Linked DNA regions of Coturnix japonica. The protein of the gene in region 1 interacts with the protein of each later gene in a biochemical or structural test. Links are inferred from orthologs where the notes say so. Each region holds a gene or a part of one and is shown on either strand. Other genes may lie near its edges.

Evidence for each region.
Region 2: the proteins of RAD51AP1 (region 1) and DMC1 form a complex in vitro, tested with the Homo sapiens proteins (2 studies listed by BioGRID and IntAct). The link is inferred for Coturnix japonica from reciprocal best matches to the Homo sapiens genes RAD51AP1 and DMC1.

Annotation. Positions count from the first base shown.
Region 1 is NC_029516.1:67,090,608-67,094,742, forward strand, and holds the start of RAD51AP1 (RAD51-associated protein 1), read right to left. Parts: upstream 2,801-4,135; 5' UTR 2,771-2,800; coding exon 2,694-2,770; intron 861-2,693; coding exon 811-860; intron 1-810. UniProt on the Homo sapiens protein: Structure-specific DNA-binding protein involved in DNA repair by promoting RAD51-mediated homologous recombination.
Region 2 is NC_029516.1:46,421,127-46,424,204, reverse strand, and holds the end of DMC1 (meiotic recombination protein DMC1/LIM15 homolog), read right to left. Parts: intron 2,298-3,078; coding exon 2,237-2,297; intron 1,829-2,236; coding exon 1,712-1,828; intron 947-1,711; coding exon 877-946; 3' UTR 501-876; downstream 1-500. UniProt on the Homo sapiens protein: Participates in meiotic recombination, specifically in homologous strand assimilation, which is required for the resolution of meiotic double-strand breaks.

The DNA of each region.
Region 1 (4,135 bases):
TCTAAATGCCATAGAACAGATACATGATACTTCTGAGATAAAAATCTAAGGGACAGAGGAAAACAAGCTTCCTTTTTTTTGTAGTATGACAAGTGGTCACTTAAAAAAAAAAAGTTACGAACTGTATTTAAACTTGTGAAACTCTGCATTAACTCACATGACTTACAAGGGATCTTCAATATCACTTAACTTTTCTTTCCCCTTCCTATCACTTCAAACTGTTCAGTGGATACCAAAAACTGACAAATAGCACAGGAAGATAGAAAAATAAACCAAATTCATGAAGGGAAATGATACAATACCCATTAGGGCTTAGAGGTAAAGGAGGATTGTCACGAAAACTAAGAGCCTACAATCTATTTTTCTTACCAATTCAACTCAAAATTTGATTGCTAAATTCTTATCCAAAATCCTTTAAGTTACAGAGCTGGATGAGAAATGTTAGACCTGTGCACAGCCAACTACATAACTCCCTTTACATTCTGATATGAAGTCTTGTGAAATGATCATCAGGAGGGCACAGAACAAGTAACTCTCTGAAAACTGAGGTAGGCAGAGAAACAGATTTTCCTGCAATCAAAAGACACAGTGCATTCAACAGATCCCTGGCAAACTGTTGTTATGCTTTGGCTTACAGAAATCATATTCTTGCTGAATTAGGATTTTCAACATGTTCAGTTTATATCCACTGAAAACAGTAATAGCCTTGTCACTTAACTAATGCATGAAAAAGAAGAACACTCTGCTGATACTTTAGGTTGTAGCATTAGCGCTTGGCATTTCAGTTATGTACAGAAATACACCACTTACCACCATCTTCAAAGTCCCCAAATTCTGAATAATTAACAATTTTCCTGTTCCTGTGGCAAAAGAACACAGTATTAGGCCCTTCGTATTGAGAATCCCTACTAGCTAATTCTTGATTTGGTTTGTATCATGTATTTAAGGAGAAAAGCAGCGTATGTCCAAATACATGTGTAACTATTACTATTGCATACAATATGGTTACTAAGAACAGAATAGCTTGGTTAGGAAGGGACAGTTCCAACCCCCACTTCTGAGCATAGGGACACCTCCATCAGATCAGGCTGCCCATTAGGCCTACTTTGGCTTCTCTGGGCAGCCTGTTTCAGTGCCTCACCACCCTCATGGTGAAGAATTCCTCCCTAATACTCAACCAAACCTACCCTCATGAAATTTGAAACAGTTTCCTCTTGTCTTCCTGAGAGTCCTATTCAGTTCTGTTGTACGCTCTTGTATGGGAAATTGGTAATCACAGCCTGAACCTCTGATTAATCAGCTGAGGCAAGTGTTAGGTCAGCTGCAGGAGCACAGGTGAGAGTAATTTAGCTGTGCTCCTGGAAGGGATGGAGCTCGACTCCACCTCCTCTAGACCTCATTTAAGGGCTGACCCCCACTGAGGCAGCATCTCTTGGAGATCACTCCCTGGTGGAGATTGCCTCAGCTTTTTCCAGCTAAGGCATTGATATTGGTGTGTTTCCCTTTACCTTTTGAATATTTACCATCTTTCATATTATCCACCCTTACAGCTCTCTTTAGGTGCTATTAGGCTACTATAGGGTCTTCCCAGAGTCTTCTTGTCCCCAGGCTGAACAAGCTAAACCCCCTGAAACTGCCTTACTCCTAAGTGCTCCAGCCCTGATATCTTCATGGCCCTCATCCAGACCTATTTCAACAGCTCTTCATCCTTCCCCTGTTGAGAGCCCCAAGCATCAACGCAGTTTTCCAGATGGGCCCTCGTGAATGCGGAGCTGAGGGCCCTGCCCTGTTGGCCATCCCTCATTTAATACAGCCCAGGGTACAGCTATCCCTCCTGGGCTGGAATTGCACACTGTTGGCACATGTTGGGACATGTTGGGTTTTTCATGAACAAACAATCCCAATCCTCTGCAGCGCTGCTCTCAATCCATTCATCTTCATTCCTGAATAGCTCCTAAGTAAGGGTTTTTGCACAGAATCACAGAATTGTAGGGGTTGGAAGGGACCTCTAGAGATCATCGAGTCCAACCCCCTGCCAAAGCAGGTTCTCTATACCATGTTGCACCGGTAGGTGTCCAGGTCTTGAATATCTCCAGAGAAGGAGACTCCACCACCTCCCTGGGCAGCCTGTTCCAGTGCTCCGTCACCCTCACTGTAAAGAAGTTCTTCTGCACATTCGTGCTGAACTTCCTATGCTGTAGTTTCATCCCATGTTGTTGTTTCCCTTATGGCAGCACACACACAACTCCTTGGAGATCGATTCCATTCCACGGTCACTTTCAGACCGAGGAGATGAGGCTGCACGTCACACAAGCGACGGGCAAATGCAGCGCGCGCGCGCCACAGGCTTTCGAAGAAAAACCAGCTCGGCGCCGTTCGGCTCACATCCCAACCCGCCTGAAGGAGGCACGGCAGCCATCACAGTATATACACACAGTATCACAGTCTTGGGCTGGTTGGAAGGGACCTTAGAGATCATCGAGTCCAACCCCCGGGATTCGAGCCTCTGTGTAGCAGGGCAGCACTTCGACCACTTGCGCCACAGGGAGGATTCGAACCCCAGTCTCCAGTGTTGCTAAGTGGCGTCCTTAACCACTGCGCCACCGGGGCACACACGGTCCGCACAACACGCACTTGTGCCCCTTGTCCCTCCGCGCGGCTCGGCCAGACCCGACCCCAGACCCGTCACCCACCTCCTCGCCATCCCGGCCATCGCCGCGGCAGCCGGCGACAGCCACCCGCCGTTGACGCTGCTCGCAGAACGGCACATTCGCCGCAAAGAGGAGGGGCGAAGGCAGCCGGTTCTACGGCGTCGAATCTGCGTCTGCGAATGTGAAACTACTGAAAGGAAGGGAGGAGGTCCCGGCGTCGGCCCTTCCCGGGCGGACACATTGAATTACCGCATCCAGAGCACAGGTGAGACATGGCGGAGCTGGATGCCCGCACCGCCTTGCTTTGTGGTGGGGTGCTGGCTCGCAGCTGGGCAGGGGGCTTTGTTCGCCCGGGGAACGCGTTACTGCAGACCCTTCTGCTCTTCCCTTCTGTCACCAACTGTTCTATGCGTTTTCAGTAATCAGAACTACTGCGGCCTCTCCTCTGAGCTTGGTAACTTTGAGCCTGAGGACAAAAACTGTTACCTTTTGTCTTATCTTTCAGCCTGGAGAAGAGAAGGTTGCGGGGTGACCTCATTGCAGCCTTTCAATACCTGAAGGGAACCTAAACCCGGGAGGGGAGTAAACTCTTTGAAAGGGCTGACAATAGCAGGACTAGGGGAAATGGATCCAAGTTAAAAGAGGGAAGATTTAGGTTGGATGTTAGGGGGAAGTTCTTCACTAGGAGAGTGGTTAGGCCCTGGAACAGGCTGCCCAGGGAGGTTGTGGATGCCCCGTCCTTGGAGGTGTTCAAGGCCAGGTTGGACGGGGCCCTGGGCAACCTGATCTAGTAAAGGTATATGTTTGGTGGCCCTGCCAGGCAGGGGGGTTGGAACTACATGATCCTTGAGGTCCCTTCCAACCTGGGTCATTCTGTGATTCTGTGATTATCGCTCCTGATAAAGAGTACCCACCCAGCTTCCTTGTCTGCTCCCTTTAGTCACTGCGGGGATGCTACAAGGTCTTCCTGGAGCCTTCTGTTCTCCAGGCAAGAAAATAAACAGCTCTCAGCCTGTCTTCATAGGAGAGATGCTTCAGCTCACTGATCATCCTTGTGCCCTTCTTCTGGATTTGCTCTAACAGGTGTATGTCTTTACAGTGCTGGGAGGCCCTGAATTGGATGCAGTATTCGGAGTTTTTTTCATTTTTGTCTTGTAGACAGCTCTCTTGTTTTTGTTTTGTTGTTTTTTTTCCCTGCTTTTTAATTAATTTATTTATTTATTTAATTTTAATTTTGTTTACTGTCTATCAGTGTATCCTTAGGCCCGTTTCAAAATGACTACGTAAGCTTCTTCTGGAAGTTACTGCTGTCTTCTCTTCCCCCCCTCCACAACTCTACCACCAGTGGAAGAGGCAGTAAAATCCTAATGCACTCCAGACTGTTTCACTTTTTGAGACACAGTTGTCTGCAATTGCAGTTTCTCAGTTAAAGACAGCTTTTCATGTCTTTTCCTTTTGTCTTGGTTCTACCTTTTAGTCACAAT
Region 2 (3,078 bases), about 21 Mb from region 1:
GAGGGTAGGGAAAAGCTAGGCCGAGGCGTACGTTACGTAAGCGCACGGCGTACGCAGCTTGCGTAACTCAGGCTGACGTAGAGCAGGAAGAACCCGACGTTTTGCGTAAAATTCTTCCGCGGGCTGTGCAGGAAGGGCTGGCGGAGGGTCGGAGGATTACGCTGATCGTTCAGCGTAGCGGCGCTTAGAGAATGCGGCTGTTCGGCCGGGCGCCGGCTGCCGCTGTGGAGGAGACAATAAGGGCGGTGCGGCGGAGGGGGGTGCGGGGGGCTGCGAGGGCCGGGTGGGCTCGGGGCCCCCTCACAGGGCAGGTTGTCAGGGGGCTGTGGGCTCAGCACACGGGCAGCAGCGAGAGGGGAGGCAGCCATGATGTGTGCTTTGTCCTGGCTGCGAGACAACGGCTTGATGTGCCCCACACGGGTTGTGAAAGGTTGGGTTGTATCTGGCTTGGGGATGAGTGAGAGTGGGGCTGGAGGAGAAGCACCCAAAGACACACAGAGTGCTGTTCTCGTTTTAGGTCTTTATTATTCCCTTTAGTATAAACAACTTTAGGTCATTCTCTTCTAAAAGTGCTTCAATAAGCAATCTGGCCGACGTGAAAGTATTCCAGGTATTTAATTCTCTTCTTCCACACATGGAGTGCCGCAAAGCTCCTGGGCTTGTTGTTTCCATCAGCTATTTATTGCCAATTAAAAAGAGAAGACCCCAAATGAACCAGCTGAATAACACTGAAGCACACACGGTTTATCCCAAACACCTCTCAAACGATTCCAAGCAGATAAAAAGCAGCCAGGGGAGGCAGCGACCTGGAGCAGATCTTCATCCCAACGAAGCGCCTTGGTGGTTAACAGCTGTATGTCTGCATGAGGTTCCCACTTATTCTTTGGCATCTCCAATCCCTCCAGGAGTTATTGCAAATGTGGCTTCATTTTCGGGCATCTCAGGACTGGAGGGGAGGGAAGAGGGGGGAAAAGAGAACCACAAGTGTTAAATGGAACGGTCTGCCAAAGGTTTAAAGTCAAAGCGACACGGGATACTTCAATATGTGACGTGCATGATGTCATCAAGATGAGAAAATGTGAAAGGCAACTCTCAAGATGAGAAACTCAAGTGAGGGGAAAGGAGGAAGCGTGGGAGAGATGATTCTGTGTGTGCAAAGCTGTCTGGCCCGTTTCAGCTGGTGGCCAGGAGCAATGGCCACTCAGTTCTGCTTATATGCTGTTTAATACTTGTGTCTGCCCCAGCTCAGCCTGTAAACTGACACCCCACTGAGGGCAGCAAAAGTGAGTGATGGAACAGCTCTGGAATGTTCCTGCCAAGGGACAACCCTGGCTCTGGGCAACCTGGTCTGCTGGTTGGCGACCTTTGCACGTAGCAAAGGGGTTGAAACTGGGTGGTTGTTGTGGTCCTTTTCAACCCAGGCCATTCTGTGGTTCTATGATTTGATAGTCTTCATGAAGAGATCAACATCTAGTGGGATTTATGAGGTTACATAACGTAATACATACGATATGTGAGACAACTTGGAATCTACCGATCTAAATCTACTGATCACTGTCCTTTCAGATGTTCTCTCAATATACCCCCCAGATGCATGGTTCATTTGAAACCACCAATCAGTTCACAAGCTATTAAGTTTCGGTGCAGTGAACTTTGACACCCCGCTGTGTTCATAATGCAGCTTCTTAACTGAAGAGACACACAGCTTTACCTGTCGTATATCTTTGCAATACGCAGCTCTCCTCTCCCTTTCCTCAAACTAATTCGGGTCGTCGAAGCATGAGCCAGGATGTGGCCCCCAACCGGCTTCTTTGGGTCTGCCTGAAAGCTAAACCAGCAAAAAATCACCATGCGATTTCCATTGGCTAATAGTGTGATTCTCTGTCAGGCAACGCACAGTGAAGTCAGTAACAAATAATAAACAGGTATAAATCAAAAGAGGAGATAAACACACCTGCCTCAAGATGGGATGCTCAAATGCACAACACTCAGCGTCCTCTCATCAAATAGCAAAAGAAATCATCATGCCAGCCAGGAAAAAGAAATCATTAACAAAACTATCATGATAGAGAGAAACCCATAGGTGTCATCTGTGGATGATGATACCAGAAAGACAAAAGAGCAGCCTGAAATAGTTAAAACATGAGGAGCACGCCTTCATGTCAATGCTTTTTGCTCAATCTCAGTTCAGTATGTAACCAAAAGAGAAGAGATTTGACAGTGAGAGTATCCTTACGTCATAGTTGCTCCTGGATCGGCGGTCATCTGATTGGTCACAAACACAGCCACGTTATATTCTGCAATAGAGAACAATGCAAAGGTGAACTGTATCCACTTAGATTTCAAAAATACCCTCATGTTCACGCTAAGATCAAGGTTGCTACAGAGGCACTTCACATTTCAAAGGAAAGAGAAGCAAATGTTCCTTACATCTGCTGGCTGGGGTTAACAGGAAGACAGCCTAATTTTGCTCTGGTGTCAGCTGTAATATTCATGCCAAAAATGAGCACTTTTCAGTGTTCTGCTGAACAAGTCTTGCCCAATTCCCATCTTCTCCGTTGGCTCCATGCCCTAGGCCTCTTCTCCCTCCCTCTGATGGTTCCCTTTTTTGTTTTTGGCATTTACTACATCAAAACATTTCCTCATTCCTCATCAACATTTCTGAACCATTCCAAAAAAGGAAGAATCCTGTTCATCCCACCATCGTCCCTCAGAGCACTACGCAGTAATTAAGAATGAGGCGATGGACACAGCCTTCTCTCTCTGTGCCTTCTCCATTTTTATCCTGTTCTCCACGTTTCTTGTATGTTTAGACTGTAGAAGCTGGGGGAAGGCTGGATATTTGTCCAGTTTCAAAACCTGTCCTCCCATTTAGGACTTCTTAATGGTATTTCTGGGAGAGCTCTAGATGTTAAATAATTCCAAAGACTCCTTTAGTTATCTCCTTGAAATCAGATACTTTTGTTTCTTTTTGGTAACTGATAGACGCATAAAGTAAAGAAGGATCTCAGGGCCAGTGCCTGATTTGATAAAACACTTAGCGGTCATGCCACCAACAATTGCTGTTTCAGTAACTCC